Linked DNA regions of Caenorhabditis elegans. The protein of the gene in region 1 interacts with the protein of each later gene in a pairwise test. Each region holds a gene or a part of one and is shown on either strand. Other genes may lie near its edges.

What was found. The genes of interacting proteins can lie anywhere in the genome.
Region 2: the proteins of zen-4 (region 1) and fln-1 interact in a two-hybrid assay, tested with the Caenorhabditis elegans proteins (one large-scale study listed by BioGRID).
Region 3: the proteins of zen-4 (region 1) and cyld-1 interact in a two-hybrid assay, tested with the Caenorhabditis elegans proteins (one large-scale study listed by BioGRID).

What each region holds. Positions count from the first base shown.
Region 1 is NC_003282.8:6,116,223-6,122,298, reverse strand, and holds zen-4 (Kinesin-like protein), read right to left. Parts: upstream 4,085-6,076; 5' UTR 4,076-4,084; coding exon 3,633-4,075; intron 3,587-3,632; coding exon 3,338-3,586; intron 3,296-3,337; coding exon 2,990-3,295; intron 2,936-2,989; coding exon 2,686-2,935; intron 2,634-2,685; coding exon 2,451-2,633; intron 2,406-2,450; coding exon 1,683-2,405; intron 1,627-1,682; coding exon 1,540-1,626; coding exon of another isoform or gene 1,456-1,539; exon of another isoform or gene 1,400-1,455; coding exon 1,277-1,399; 3' UTR 1,202-1,276; exon of another isoform or gene 956-1,201; coding exon of another isoform or gene 863-955; 3' UTR 522-862; downstream 1-521. Other genes in the region: M03D4.4 (C2H2-type domain-containing protein), read left to right, coding at 75-179.
Region 2 is NC_003282.8:372,991-377,950, forward strand, and holds the start of fln-1 (Calponin-homology (CH) domain-containing protein), read right to left. Parts: upstream 3,023-4,960; coding exon 2,987-3,022; intron 2,938-2,986; coding exon 2,824-2,937; intron 2,776-2,823; coding exon 2,604-2,775; intron 1,755-2,603; coding exon 1,581-1,754; intron 1,541-1,580; coding exon 972-1,540; intron 931-971; coding exon 654-930; intron 614-653; exon of another isoform or gene 531-613; intron 354-530; coding exon 1-353.
Region 3 is NC_003281.10:9,907,637-9,912,288, forward strand, and holds the start of cyld-1 (ubiquitinyl hydrolase 1), read right to left. Parts: upstream 3,023-4,652; 5' UTR 3,022-3,022; coding exon 2,985-3,021; intron 2,933-2,984; coding exon 2,775-2,932; intron 2,720-2,774; coding exon 2,480-2,719; intron 2,087-2,479; coding exon 1,961-2,086; intron 1,681-1,960; coding exon 1,604-1,680; intron 1,561-1,603; coding exon 1,452-1,560; intron 1-1,451.

The DNA of each region.
Region 1 (6,076 bases):
CGCTTGCAAATTTCATGCCAGACTTGCGGAAAATATTTCAAAATTTCCACTGTTTCAACGAATGTATATTTCAGATCATCGCAAATGTTTCCAATTTCTTGACAAATACAGCAACACCGGATAATATGTTCATGATGAATGCAGTAAATGTATTCACTCATCTTAAAAATACTCTCTAGGCAATTAATTTTCACCGATTTTCTTTTTTTTTTCTCATATTTCTCTCACCACGTGGTTTCTGATCTTGTCTCTCGCCTGGCTTTTCCCAATTTAACTTTAATTTTAAAAAATTAAATCTCTCTGATAATCAATATTTCTGACCTCTTTTTCATGATAATCCCTTTTTATTTTTCGATTGAATTATTTTTTGAAATACCAACCAAAAAATCAAAAAACGCGTATTAAATCATAATTATTTGTATAAAACCGTGCCTTTTTCCCACCATTTTCTATGTAACCCTCGACCTAAATCGGGTCTTATTTATTGAGATTCATTTTTTTGAACGAAAATAAAAGCTAACTTATTTTCATATTTTATATTCTTTGAGTTTAATTAAAATTAAAATACAAAAGCATTTACTAGTACACAAATCATCGTCGGGAATAAAAATGAACAGAGTTCTTCAGATCGATATCAAAAAATTGTGCGTAGAAGGAGAAAAAGACGAAGAAGTGAAAGATCATAAAAATGCGGTGAGGTCTACAAAAAAACAAGAGTTCTCTTCGAGTTCGGAAAATGGGATTATGAATGAGAAACATAATAAATTAATAAATATTTGGAGAAAATTTGAAGAGTATGGTACAAATTTGACATGAAAATGCAGCAGGATGGAGGTAAAAAGATCAAAGACGGCACTTATAATTACTTTCGTGTGCTCGGAGATTCGTGAGTGAGTCTCTCGATATCGTTGAAGAACACGGCAGTGCCACCGGAAACTGTTGGAATTACATTTCCCTGAAAAATTCGAGATGAGCAACAGATGAGAAAGTGGAACACAAAAATAAATGTATTTTTAAAGTTATATGACCTAAAACATTACATGAAAAACTGAAATTAAATGCATATAGAACTAGCACTAAATTAGTTAATTTTAAGCATGAAATTTTAACTCAAAAAGTATATATCAAGCAAATTCAGGCAGTTTTCTCAAGCACTACTAAAACAGTATCTAAAATAGCCAATAAACAATCAAAAACATACAACAAACACATAAAAATGTAAAAAGAGCAGCTTCATCTTCTCATTCCCCCAGCAAACATTCATTTCAAATAATTCTCATTCATCTTCTTCTTCAACATCATGATTAGAGTATATCGTTATCGATTTTACATCCGTACACGGTGAATACGAACTGCTTTGCGAGTCTTCCAGTTGAAGTTCTGGTGGTTTAGATGGTGCCTGTTAGAATGCGTTACGTGTGTGCTTTGTGAGAAGAAAAGACGGACAGTTTTGTATCAGGAAAGATGGGTGATAAGGACACGGGAAAACGACAACGGGACGGTACAGGCGTGTTTTTGGGTGGAAACCAAGGAATTTACCTTCACTATATTCGTGCTAATGTTTCCTTCATCGTCAACTTCTTGATGCGTGAGACGGTATTCTCCGGATTTGTTCAACTGATGCATCTGGAAAACAATTGAATTACAATAAAATTGCGGAATTTATTAATGTTTTTTCCTACCTCAGGTTTAGTAGTCCGTATGGCGTTAGCCGGTGTACGAGACTGAAGAACCGTTCCTGTTGGAACTCGATGAAGTGGCTGATGATCCAATAGACGAGATGCAGACTTGGATCTTCTTTGATATTTTGGATTAACGTAACCCTGTTGACCACTTCCTCCACTTGAAGATCCAGACATTACAGTGGTCGATGTAGTGGCTTCTAACCGTTTTTTGAAGACTGGAGCACGTCCTGGAGTTTGATATGGCGGTGGTGGAGTTTGGATTGGAGCTGTTGGATGAGCCACATTCTCTTGATCAAATCGTGATCGAAGAGAAGCAACAGACGGGGATGGATTATCAATAATTCCACGAACATTTCTCATCGCCTTCTTCTGTGACTGAATAATCTTCCTGTCCTCCATTTTTTGTTCCATAAGCTTTTCCATAACCAGAGCATTCTCTTGCTCTCCTTGCTCACACGAGGCAATTCGTTCCTTCATCGAAGCGTTCTCACGCTTATATCTTGAGCAGAAACCTCGAAGCTTCTTGATTTCTTCATCCTTGTCGTTTAGAGAATCTTTGAGACGTGCAATCTCTACTCGCTGGTAGTCTGCTTCCATCATGTATTGGCGAATCATAGTAAGAAGAGTTGAAGATGGTCCCTCTTCTGATGAATTTTGAAGAGATGAAAGTTTCCGAGCATACTTATACATGGAATCTACCGTATCTTTGTCATTGCAATCCTGGAAACAATTTGTTCAAAACCATTCAATTTGTGAAATTCTTACTGTCAAACAGAATGTCGGTGGGCACGGAATTTCTCTACTTCCATCATCCTCCATACGAACAGATCCATCTAGCTCAGAATTCCATTGGGTGAAGAATGAATGAGGAATCCGCTCGGATGGCATTCGTTCAACTTGCTTTTTCACTTCAATTGTTTGTGATTCTTCAGCGAAAGCTAGAGCACTCTGAAAGTTACGAATTTAAATAATTAGTAAATTCTTTGAATTCTGAACGAACCATGTTTTCATCGTAATCATCAGGCTTTGGATTCACACAAATAACCATTCTGATTTTTCCATTTCCTTCCAGATAGTTTTTGAATAAATGAGTCAATTTTGACTGGCGATATGGAACTTGCTCAAGGTTTTGTGAGGAACTCTTTTGGTTACGACGGAGTACTTCAATACACTGACGAAGAGTCATGAGGGACTGATTGATCGAGTTGGCTTCCGCAAGACGTTCACCAACATTCTGTGTGCGCTTTGCTCTAAAATTTTTCTCATTAAACATATATATTTCAGTTTACAACAAAAAAACAAACCTCTCAGATCCAGCCAAATCTACCAAACATAACTGCGAAACGATAATTTGCGATGAGTCCATTGTTGGATACACGCTTTTCGTCTCGTAGGCTCTCGGAGCCATAACCAATTTGATAGTGAATACGGAATGAGAACGGGATGAATCTTTGTTGAGAAGAGTGGACGATACACGACGACGTTCTTCTCCAAGGCAGAACACTTCGAGAGCTTCCTCGCTTGACGAGACTTCAACATCTTTGGCTCCGTCGACGTACATCTGTTGCTGACGATCATGACGAATTTCACGCTTCGTCAATACTCTGGAACTAGCGGAGGGTCACTATCAATTATTGCTCGATTTTTCTTACCCATTTCTGGCGTCTTCCAACAAATCGTAGCAATAATTGTTGTAGATTTCGACGTAGGTTACGAAAACCGAGCAAACCATATCGTCGTTGTAGCCTGACAGCTTTATAGCTTCACAGTAACGATCAGTGATTTCGCGTGATGTGGAAAGACGGTCTGCAGCCATTTGATGGCGTTTCAAGTGAGCATCCAATGTGGCACGGATCTCGAATGTATTCAGTGCTGATGGATAGAAGATGCATTTCTCAACTCTGGAAGAAAATAATATTATTTGCTTTTTTCGTTTCAAAAGCTTACCGATTATTAATACTATTGAAAATTACATCCAATGTACGCGGCAGTAGTCCTGTGCCGGTTTCAGTGGGTTTTCCCGTCATTGTATACGTTTTTCCAGATCCAGTAACTCCATAAGTGAATAACAACGAATTCTGACCTTTCAATAGGTTTAAAATTAAATCAACAGATGTCCGCTCAAAAACAGTAGCTTGTCCATCATTTTCCGAAAAAACTCGTCCAAATCTAAACACTTTCTCAACTTGTGGAGCGTTTTCGCGTCTGAACTGTGCTGGTGGAAGAACAGTTTGAATAGATCCCTCATCAATTGCAATAAGACTTGGAGTCGAGCCAGTATATGGACAAAGACGACAAACGACTTCGATACTGTCGGTTTCTTCAATCGATAACTTCTTCCGGCGGACTTGGTCTCGCGATGGAGTTATTCCTCGTTTACGCGACGACATTTTCTGAAATGAATTGAATTAAATAAAACAAGTTTTGTTATATTGATTTACAAAAACGGTTTTATTCCAAAAAACCGTGAAAAAATAACAAATTTCGAAGAAAAATCAACAAAAACAAGTCAAAGCAAACATGTGAGAACGGTTAGAATTCAAACTGGCGGCGGAGGGGGAGGGTGCGCAGTGAGACCAGCCACGCAGATAAATCTATGCGCCTTTAATACCTATGTCTGCGTCTCTCACACAAGGCAGCGAGAGTGGTACTCTTGTAATATTGCGGTGGCACTCGCTAGCTCGCGTTTTGTCCGCCGCCACCGTGTGCTATGGGCCTTCCTTCAGTGCGGGGAGTTGAGACTGTAATGGGTTCCGAAAGGATGAAAATCCTCAAAGTTCCTGATGTGGCCGCATCAAAGCACAGGTCGGATATGATTGTAGTGAGATATAATAAAAATCATTTAAAGACATAAAAATAAACACATAATACATAGGAAGATTAATAAAAAACATACGAATAAGTTACAAACAAGGAAATTAATTATCATCTGTAAAAGTTGAGGTGCCAATATAAGATTCGTTTTGCTAATTTTTAATAGAACTTTATATTCTTTTTGTGAAAAAGTGTCTTCGTAGTTTGGTTTTGTATTTCCCCCAGATTAACTTGGTTTTGGTTCTGGTTTTGTAGTTTTTGTCTATTTTTAAAAATTGGTCAGTGTCAATGTCAACTTTGTGTACTCTATCTCTATCAATTTTTAAGAGCCAAATGTACACAATAAGTTCTGCTGATTTCATAGTGAATAAATTTCTAGAAAAAAAAAACATGATATACCACAGTGCCAGTAGCCCAACAGTACAAAGAAAACATGTGAAGTTCACTAGAATATTCTACATTTGTTTACTTCTAGAATTATAATACTATAAAAATTAATTTTCAAGTCGTAGTAAAAAATCATTAGTAAAAGATAAAACGTAGTAAAAGAGCCAATTGTAGTACAAGATCAAGTAGTAAAACAGTATTTGCCAAAAAATTCAAATAACAGAAAAAGGGCATCCTTGGTGTTCAATCCAAGCGAGCAATGAATTCGGAGCAGTTCTGAATTTGGAAAAAATGTGCCAATTTGTTGAAAAATAATTCTTTCCACAGCAATTTCGAAGTTTATTTTTTAAAACCGTCCTTAAAAATCTCAGTGTTTTCCATTTCAGACTCAAGATTCCGTTTCAGATAAATCACGTCATGACGTATCTGAAAAGAGAAGGGCGACACATTAAGATTCAAAAATCGTCTGAATTCTTGCACTCGCATTAAATTATTTATAAGCTTCTTATATCTCTGATCATCAATCAAATGGGGTTCCCAGGATTTTAATTCTTGATTCGTTTTTTTTTTGCGAGGAGCAATGAGTGGGCGCAGCCGAATCGGGGAAGCCAAATTGTTGAAGATGCTCCCCAAATTATGAAACGTTTAAACAGGATTAAACATTCTATTACGGGCACACTAAATTCTGAGAATGCGTATTGAGCAACATATCTTACGCGCAAAATGTCTTGTAGCGAAAACTACAGTAATTTTTTTAAATGTCGATTTACGGGCGGAAAGTTCGAAACAAATTTATTTTCGAATTGTGACAGCGATATTTAAACTTCCTCCAATTTTTCGTTGAGCGTCAAATGTGATGCGCAATACGCATTCTCAGAATTTAGTGTTCCCGTAATATTTTTTGTTTTCACCCTTCGTGGGAAAACTACAGAATATTCTCAATTTTCTCCAGAAATCACCACACTCCAAACACTTGGAAACTCACGAGGTGGTTAATTACTGATTCTTTGAATTCTTTTGTGTGTTGATGAGAAGAGAAGAGTTCAAAAGGTTTCTGCCGCCCACAACTTTTCTCTTCGAATATTTATTTTTTCTCGTCCATTCAATCTTTTTTTGCAAAGGTAATTCAAAAACAAAAAAATGTTAAATAAGGAACAAAACGCGAGAGTATGGAGAGGAAATTCATGCGG
Region 2 (4,960 bases), 5.7 Mb from region 1:
CTCATTTACAATTCCGCCTTCAAGTCCTGCTCCGAATGCTCTGATCTTCGAAGAGCTTTCCGGTGCCACATGGATCTTATGAGATTCGATGACTTCACCAGCAACCTTAACGAGTACTTCTAGATCATCAGGTGCTTGCTTTGGCGAATATTCGAAATCCATTGACTGAGATTCGTCATTGTAGCCAACTGAAACTGGTAGATGAGAACCATCCGACGGTTTCAACACTTCCAAAGAAATGTTTGCGTTGGCGATATTTTCTTCCGGATCCAACGATTCAACGTGGACACCAACGACATCATTTTTGCGAATTCCTTCTGGAGCAATTCCACGTCCCCACACTTTGAACGAATCTGAAAAACAATTTCATTACTTTTTTGAAATACAGAAACAGAGACATCATGGATTCAAGATTTAGTGGAATTCCGGATCTGTCACCGTGCCAACGCATAAAACGCAATTTTTCTCGAAGAAAAAACAGTTTTCTTCAAAAGTTCTCTTCAAGAAAATATGCTTAACAACACGCAACATGGAGCAGTTGTCACGTTTTTCTTTGAGAAAAATTGTGTTTTGTGCCAGATCCCTAATTCCACCAGATCTTGAATTCGTGGTGCATCCAGAAACTCGATTCTTATATTTATAAATATACGCACTCTTTGGTTTTCCACGCAGTGGGAATGGCGATCCGGTCAATGGGAGCTTCTTGTGGAAAACATTGACTGAATGTAGTCCAATACACGGAATTTTGTATTCGAATGAATGTTCTCCTGGTGATGTACCATCCAAGATAACCATTCGGTGCTCTTTTCCAGTTGGATCAACAACAATTGCTTCAACAGGACCTTCAATGGCGTCGACCACGGCGAATTTGACGTCATCTCCGACTTTGGCGGTTTTGTTATAATCGAGAAGGCGGGCGATTGGAACAACCTGAAGAACAAATTCAGATTATATATAAATTTTTTCTCTACCTGACAAATGACGCTAGCCTCAGGAATGGTCTGAGTCTCAAACGTGTGAACATCGTTCGCGGCTACATCCACGTGGATAAATCCAATCTTTGTAGGAGTGAACTTGACTTTGTAGGCGTTTTCTTTATCCTCAACCTTTTTAAGACTCAAATGAATATCCTGTCCATCTTCATCTCGGATCGAGACTTTCGGCTTAAATCCATCACGAGAAAGCTTCAAATCAAACTCTCTAGGATCATTGACTTGGAGAATTTTGTCCAAATTTGAAATAGTCGCTTGAACCTTTGGCTTCATTATTATTGGTTTTGTTGCAGGGAACTGTGAAAGATATGTCATTACAGACATTTCATCAATTTCCGGATGAATCATCTCAGCTGGAGCAATGAGTGGAGCAACTTTAAGCAAATCTTGAGCAGACTTCATGGCTTTCTCAGTGTTCTCCAGAGCATCATTTGGCGACCAATTTTCCCAGTCTTCAAGTGCTCCTGGAGCCATCGAATTGACAAGTGCACCGAGAGCAACTCCGTCGTTCCAGTCGGAAGTGAAGTTGGAAATCGGCATTCCTGAAACTTTAGGGTGATGAGTAAATGTTGCAATTCGAAATGGTACCTGGAAGACGATTACGAATCCAATTGAGGAGCTTTTGCTTCGGAGTCTCCTCCTTATTATCTCCATCTTCTCTTTTTTCTTGAATCCATCCCATCGAAATTGAATAATGGAGAATCAATGTCCAAACGAGTCCCAGAATCAATTTCTTGTTATGATCCACAATATGAGTACTGTCTGTAATTTAAAATAATGCAATTAAATAGAAAATGGGTTGTGGTGACCGAATATATAACTATTAAAATGTTTGAATGATTCTGTATTGAGCCAAAACATTGAGAAGTCAGGTTTTAATCAGACTTTGTCAAAAGTTCGAGACATTTTCGGTAAAGCTCGTGTGGTAAAGAATTAAAACGCAAAAAAATACAGTAACCCTTGTGATTTTTTTTTTTTGTCGTTCTCTCTCCTGATTCTGAAATCAAAATGAGAAAATTCACAAAACATTCCCTGATTTTTCAAACGACGAATTTTCGCACCAGAGACGCCATGTGTCGATTTACGACAATTTTGTATATTTACGAGATATTTTTAATCCTTATTGGATATAAAATCAGGGAAATTTTTTTGAATTTTTTCACATAGAAATTCAGAATCTGGGAAAAATTTGGAGTCAATTGAAAATATTTCTCAGATTTTCTTTAAGAGATAGTATCGAAATGAACATTAACTTGTAAATTAAAATTGAAATATTCAGTGTTTTGAATGTTTTTTAAAGTGGCCGTTTTTCCGAAATTCTTTCTCTAAAAACGACACTAATTGACACGTCGAAATATTGGCTTAAAGTCCCGAAAATGGGTATTTTTGTTGCGAAAAACGGTGGTCAACCTATGTTGTTCGTAATAATAGAGGAAAGGGGAACTCCGTGTGCTCGGGCGAGAGCTCCCATACACTGAAAACAAACAAAAACATGTTTGAACTACGGATTCGTCCTTTTGAACTGCTTCACCGCGCGGAGCAGTCTCGAAAAAGGAAAATATATCGTTTCTACGATACTATTTTTCAGGATTTCAGTGAAGGACTGCTTACCAATATTGATAATCTTAATATTCTCTTCATTCTGGAAGAAATTCAACGCAAGAGACACATTTTCGAGCTTCTGTGAACGAAATGCCACTTTCTTGTTGAATTTTCCAACATTCTTGTGGGAGAGAACTTGAGCCAATGCAATAAGCTTGAGACCATCCGAGAAATCAGTTTCCTGAAATTATAAATATAAAATCACTGAATAAAGTAATCCAAAACTCACCAGACTCTCAATAGTTTCTCCAGCCTTTTGCAAATGATTTTTGACCCATCTGGTGAATGTATTCTGTTGGATGATCTTCCATTCGGCGTCATCGTGACGGATCGCCGGAACGACCTGAAAATATTTATGTTAGAAAGTTGTATAGTCTTCTGAAAATAAATACCTCTTCTTCCTGGTCAAGGCGTTTTGGTTGCGCCATTTTAGACGTTGATTATTGCAAGTTTTCTAGCAGTCCTATATTATTCGCTTCTGCAAAAATCAAGGTATTGATAAAGAAGCGTGAGAATGAGAGAATAATACATGATTTAAATCGTACGGCCAAAAGGTAAAATCATTAGAAATGTCGATTCTTTTCTATCGACATTTCTAATGATTTTTAACACGTAATAAACTGCGAATACATGCATTAAAAGGTGATAATTGAATAAAAATTAAGTTCCAATGAAAACTTTTTTCTTTTAAATAAAATTTAAGTAACCTCTGCGAAAATTGCCAAAATTTGAGATTTTAGCTTAAAAATGGTAATTTTTCCACAACTTTGAACCGCCATAACTTTTTTGAGAAATTTTCAAAACGTCTCATTACGAAATTCGGTAGTTTTGGGTCATTTTTGGTCTAAAAAATATTGTTTCAGATTTCGGTACTCTGCCTTTAATTGATTATGGTACATTTTCAGTAAATAAGCACATAAATTGGTTTTTTTTGTCTAAACTGCACCTAACGACTTGAAATGTAAAATAATTAATGAAAACCCCACAATAAACATCTAAAATGCGCAAAATAGTGATAATTAACAAAAACCTGATTTCCGGCCGCTGTGGCACGTAAAGTTGGCAATAGTTGGAATTTTGAGATGGTATAAAAAATTTAGTTGCTCCATATTTACGATGAGAAATCAACGAGATAACAAACTAAACATCCTGGAAAACTAAAAACTGAAGTTTTTTTGTTTCAATCTTCAAGTTTAATAAAATCGAAAGCAGAGTTTTTGTTCAAACGAAAAGCTAAGAGAATTGAAGAAAACGCGTGCATGGTGATTCATATTTCATTTTTTTTGTGTAGGAAAAAGACACATAATACAAAGAGAACAAACGAATATAGACACGGATGGACGGCTTCTGGTACAAATGGAAGAATTGTTTTAGGGGGGGGGGGGGGTACTGTAGCCAATTGAAAAGACCAAAGACATGGGAAATTAATTTGAAAATCTTTTGGATAGAAATAGAAATACGGTAACGACAAAAAACGGCAACGTTGTACTTAAAAGAAAACTTGGTGAGAAATGCCCATTCTACCAGAATATAAAGTCTCGAGCTGGGGTGCACGGAAATTCTACAAAATGAGGTGGTGAACTTGTTTCCCTTTTTTTCATTGAAATTTGATGATACATAGAAAAACATTTGCTTTATAAATTGCGGAAAAATAACGTAAATTTTCAACTTTCGGACAATTTTTGAACACTTTCTCGGTTGTTTCAAATAAAGCAAATATTTTTCTATGTATAATTAAATTTCAATGAAAAATATCGGGAGAACATGCTCGACCGTCTCATTTTGTAGAATTGCCGGTCGGCAATGGCTGCGTACTCCTGTTTTCGAGTTTCGAAATTACAAAAAAAAACACACTTTAAAATGTTGACCAAAATCTAGTCAAAACTCGAGTCAATTGAAGAAGGAATTGCGGTATCCATATAAAGTCCAAAAAGAAGAGAAAGGGCACTGCGATGATCAATTCTCAAAATTTATCACCTTATTCCCTATTTCACACCCACTAAAAATGAACGACAAACGCAGACAGTGAAAGAGAACTTTCATTACCATTTTCATGTGCATCGTTCGTTTAGAACCGAAAATTTAACGATTCTCGATAGAAATATGAAAGGGTGTGCCGTTTGGAGGAACATTTGGCAAAAAAAAAAACAAAGTTTCTTTTTTGGGCGTTCTTCAAGAATATTTTCGTATTCTGAATCATCTTATTGCCACATTCGTCTATTGTTTCAATTTGACACTTTTGTAGACCGGATAGAAAGAACAAAACAGTGAAAATGTGACTCAAACAAAAAAGTTGCCAAATCCTGGAAAATGTACAAGTTTCGGAAGTTTCCACAACACATTCATAACATCTTCAAGGTCATCTA
Region 3 (4,652 bases), on another chromosome or scaffold:
CAATTCAAGTTCGATGACAACAAATTGGGAGAAGGAAGGGCGTCGCCAATGAAATGAGAAACAAGTTGGTTGAGACGATGAAGAGGAAAGAAAGAAACAACTAAACAGGCAAATAGTTTGTTAGAGAGAGAGAGAGAGAGAGAGAGAAGAGGATAACTTATACTTTCACACAGAGAAAGAGGAACTCTATGTTTTTTGTGTTGAAAAGAGAGAGAGAAAGAACTAAATAGAGAACCGGTTCACGATATCATTGACACTGACCGAAATATGTTTTATTGAACAACATCGAGAGGGATTAAGCATACAGTCGGCAGAAAATTGAGAAATTCTTTCAGTTTTAATTTTAATTTGAATCAGAAGCAAGGGCGTCGGGTTTTCAATTTTTGAAAAAACTAAAAATCGAAAAATCGAAAACTTTTCATTTTTCGATTTTTCTAAAAAGTTTTCGATTTTTCGATTTTTAGTTTTTTCAAAAATTGAAAACCCGACGCCCTTGCTTCTGATTCAAATTAAAATTAAAACTGAAAGAATTTCTCAATTTTCTGCCGACTGTATGCTTAATCCCTCTCGATGTTGTTCAATAAAACATATTTCGGTCAGTGTCAATGATATCGTGAACCGGTTCTCTATTTCATTTTTCGATTTTTCTAAAATTAGCTTTAAAATTTTGTTCATTGTTCTTCATTTTAGAATAAATTGTTTTGTTTTTTTCTCAACAATGTAAACGAAATTAAACTTTAAAAATCATATTTTATGGTTAATTTTCTGAAAAAAAATTGTCTTTTTGATTTTTCGATTTTCCGAAATTTTTAAAAATTCGAAAAATCGAGAATTTTTGTTTTTCGATTTCCAATTTTTCTATTTTGGAAAAACCGAAAAACGACACCCTTTATCAGAAGTATCATAATCTATGTGGATGTATTTTTTTTGTACATTTGAAATTTTCCCGGATTTAATTTTTTCCCGGACCAGAAGAGATAAATATAAATCGAGAGTTTGAGAATAAAAAATAAAAACGAAAATTTCTCGATTTTTTGGACACTAGTAAACTATTTAAGATGAGGCACAATCACTATTTCATTCGAAAAAACAAAAAAATTTCATTATTCGAGCAAGAGACTCCAATTTTTTTTCGATTTTCAAAAAAATTCGTTTTTTTTTTTAATTAAAGCCGGAAAATTGACTTTGTCAGAGCGGAATTTACAGAGGCCTAGCAAAAAATGTGACTCGTGGGCCATTAATTCCTATCCCATTATATTATTTTCAAGAAACTTATAAGTTAGTCATGCCATCGGAATTTCAATCAGTCACGTGTGACAGTCTAATTCTGAATACAAGGAGACGCCCATTTCTCGTCTGCGTCTCTTTATTTTGAATTCGTTGTTTTATTTTTCTTTTTTTTTGGTTAAAAACTAGATTCCTTTGAGAAACATATAATTTCAAATACTTACCACTTCCACAGAAACAGAATCGCCAATTTTCAGATTCAGAATGAAATTGAACCATTCGAAATTTTGATAAACTTCTATTCGTTTCTCTACACTGACAGCCAGAAGATGTCTGAAAAGGGAAAAAATTTTATTTATAAAGATAATAAATATACATTGCTTGATCTTGGTTTATTCTCATTACATCGGATCTGGTAATCATTGCACAAATCAGAGGAGTGCAGTCGAGTTCCTGAAATTTAAAAAAATTGAGAAACTGAAAAGGCATTAATTTGACGAAAAATTTTGTGCCAAAAATACGGTAGCCGATCTCGAAACGACAAATTTTTGGAATTTTTATCGATTTTTTAATCGTTTTTTCAAAAAAAAAAACAAGAATTCTGGAGAAAAACTATACAAATTCAATGAAAATTCGCCGGGAACGAAAATTTTGAATTACAGTTCTTTTAAATTTGTCGCGTCGAGACCCGCTACCGTAGTTTTAGCCGCAAAAATCAGGGTAATTACGATACCTCCATGGGCATTGCTAATCCATCACGTAAATGCGAAGAAGCTCTTGATTTTGTGAACCATTCTTTTAATTCAGACATTTTCCAATCATCATCTGCCATTTCGCGAACCATTGTTCCTGGTGGGATCTGAAAATAGAAAATAAAATTAAAAATGTTTAATTGTGGAAAAAATAAGCAAAAGACCAAATTTCATAACGAAACTTCTCCAAAATGCTTTACAAAAACATGATTTCAGCTAAAACATCAAATTATGCACGCTTTTGAGTGTCGGCCGGATTTTTTTCTCATATTTTGGTTGTTTCTCCGTTGATCAATCGATTATCGGCTCAAAAATTACCTAAATCAACAAAAAAAGCGTTTAAAAAACTTAAAGATGACAAAAAATAAATAAAAATCAAATTTCGGCAGCTACGACACGGAGAATTGGCGATTTTAGATGAAATTCTGTTTTTTTCCCCGAAAACTATCGCTATTCGGTCTTTTTGGCTCATTTTCCTCATTTAAATCCACTTCAATCACCTCAATAACACATGGTTCTTCCTCTCTTCCATAATTCGATGAAAATCGAATTCCTTGAACTTTTCGTTGCAAAAGAGCAACTATTAGCTCGGGAGAATTCCTATTCCTATCCAGCTTCGTCGTCCTATCTCGGCTATAATCGCTAACATCCACTAATTGATCATCTAAAAAGCCGGAGCCAGAAGCTTCATTAATAAGCTCAAATCCATCTATTAATGTGCCGACCGGTATATTTTGATTCTGAAAAAAAAAACGAATTTTTAAAAATCGATTTAGCAAGAATAATGTTACTTACGAGATTTAATCTGTTAGAATTGCTTGTATTTTCACTTGTATATAAATTTGAATTTTTCTCGGACTGTGTAAAATAATCAAAATCGTGTGCAGTTAAATTTGTTATTGTATTTGATCCCGTAAGTTCATCGAGTGGGTTACGAAATTGATGAGATCCAGCTGAAATTAAAAACATAGTTTTAAAAAAAATTATTATTATTTCGTAAAATACCTGATTGCTCCGGAAACTTTGCAAATTCGCCGGGCATTCTGAAATATGCGGGTTGTTTAGAACGTTTGACGAACGACAACATTTCAATAAATGAAATAAAGATTCGTACTATAAGTGGAGAGCGGTGGACGAAGCGCGCGCGCGAAGCTCAGTGTTACGTTTCGGTGAGCAAATAGAAAAGGACGTTGTCCAAACAATTATTAGACTTCCGCATCATATACCTATTTGGTGTTGAATAATATTTTTGGTTTTGACCTCGGGTTTTCCTTGCGCGCTAGGTTTTTTTTGCCGAAAAATAAAACATCGAGCAAGCAAATGACAGAGAACGTTTTCGAAAGAGAATGAGAGAACGAGAGCTTTGACACAATTATTTACAGAAAGCGAGGGAAAATGATAAGAGGCTTGCGGAGCAGATAGTTTATGTTGCAAATGCCATTTAAAATTGCGATTCTCTTCAAAAATGGTAAATTTTATGCGAAAAAATGTAGGCAAAGGTTGAGCATGTTTCTGAAAAATTTATTACGGAATTTACGACGAAAAAATCTTTAAAAATCGCTGAAAATGTTCAAAAATGCATTTAAATGAAACAAAACAAAAATAAAAATTCAAACATGTTTCAAGGGAGGTGCATGTCTGCGGATGGGTCTCGCCGCGCGCGCTGGAAATAAAGTTTTGGTGTCTGCGCCTGTTACTGTACAATTTCTAGGCTTGTTTTCTTCGATTTTATTTGCGGAAAGAAAATTATTGTGTCTTCTAATTTTTTTAAAATGTTCCATTATTTTGTTATTTAACTCAAAATTAATTGTTTTTATAGTTAAAAAAACATTGTTAAAATTCTACAGTAACATTTAAAGGCGCACACACTAAAATTTTATTTTAATTATACATCGCGTGGCGGTACCCAGCCAATATGAGATTTTCCGATATTTAGCGACAGGTTAACATAATTTTTCGCTTTATTTCTTTCTTTTTGAAATAAAACGAAGAAAAAAGATAGTAGTTAGTGGAAAGTGGAAAGTGGAAAGTTTTCAGAAATCAAAATTTCAAAAATATCCAGAATTGCTTTAGAATGAAAGAAAACCGACAAAAACCCAGTGAGCAGATAACAAGATTCCCAGAGCCCACCCCATCTCAAATAGAGCTTCAAATTGACAATTTAAAGTTTAGAGCAACCTTTTCAAGGGTACCAACATGACTAAAAATGTTGTGGCTATTTAAATGAGTATTTGGGTAAATACAAATTTTTTGAGATAAATAAAGAAAAGATGTAACATTCAGATTGCATGTACGTTTGTTTGAGTGCGGTCCAGGCACATGAGTTTATTTGTCAAAAAGATTGGACATTTTGAAGAAGACGAGAACTCGAAATGTAGCTGGAAAGTTTTTTGAAAATTCAAATTTAAAATATAAATTAAAAAATACAGAACCTTTTTTAAATCAAACCGAACACGCAGTTCAATGCAAAAATCGATAAAAGTCGAGGAAACGGAAAGACCGGTTCTCTTGAGGATAGACGGACAACGCATTCGATTGGACTTGCGCACCAATATAAACAACAATTGAATGCAATAAAAATGTAACTGAATCCATCTTATGGAATAGTGGAAGTTATCACATTTAATAAACAAAATTAATAGTTAAAAGTATCAACAGAAAATACATTAAATT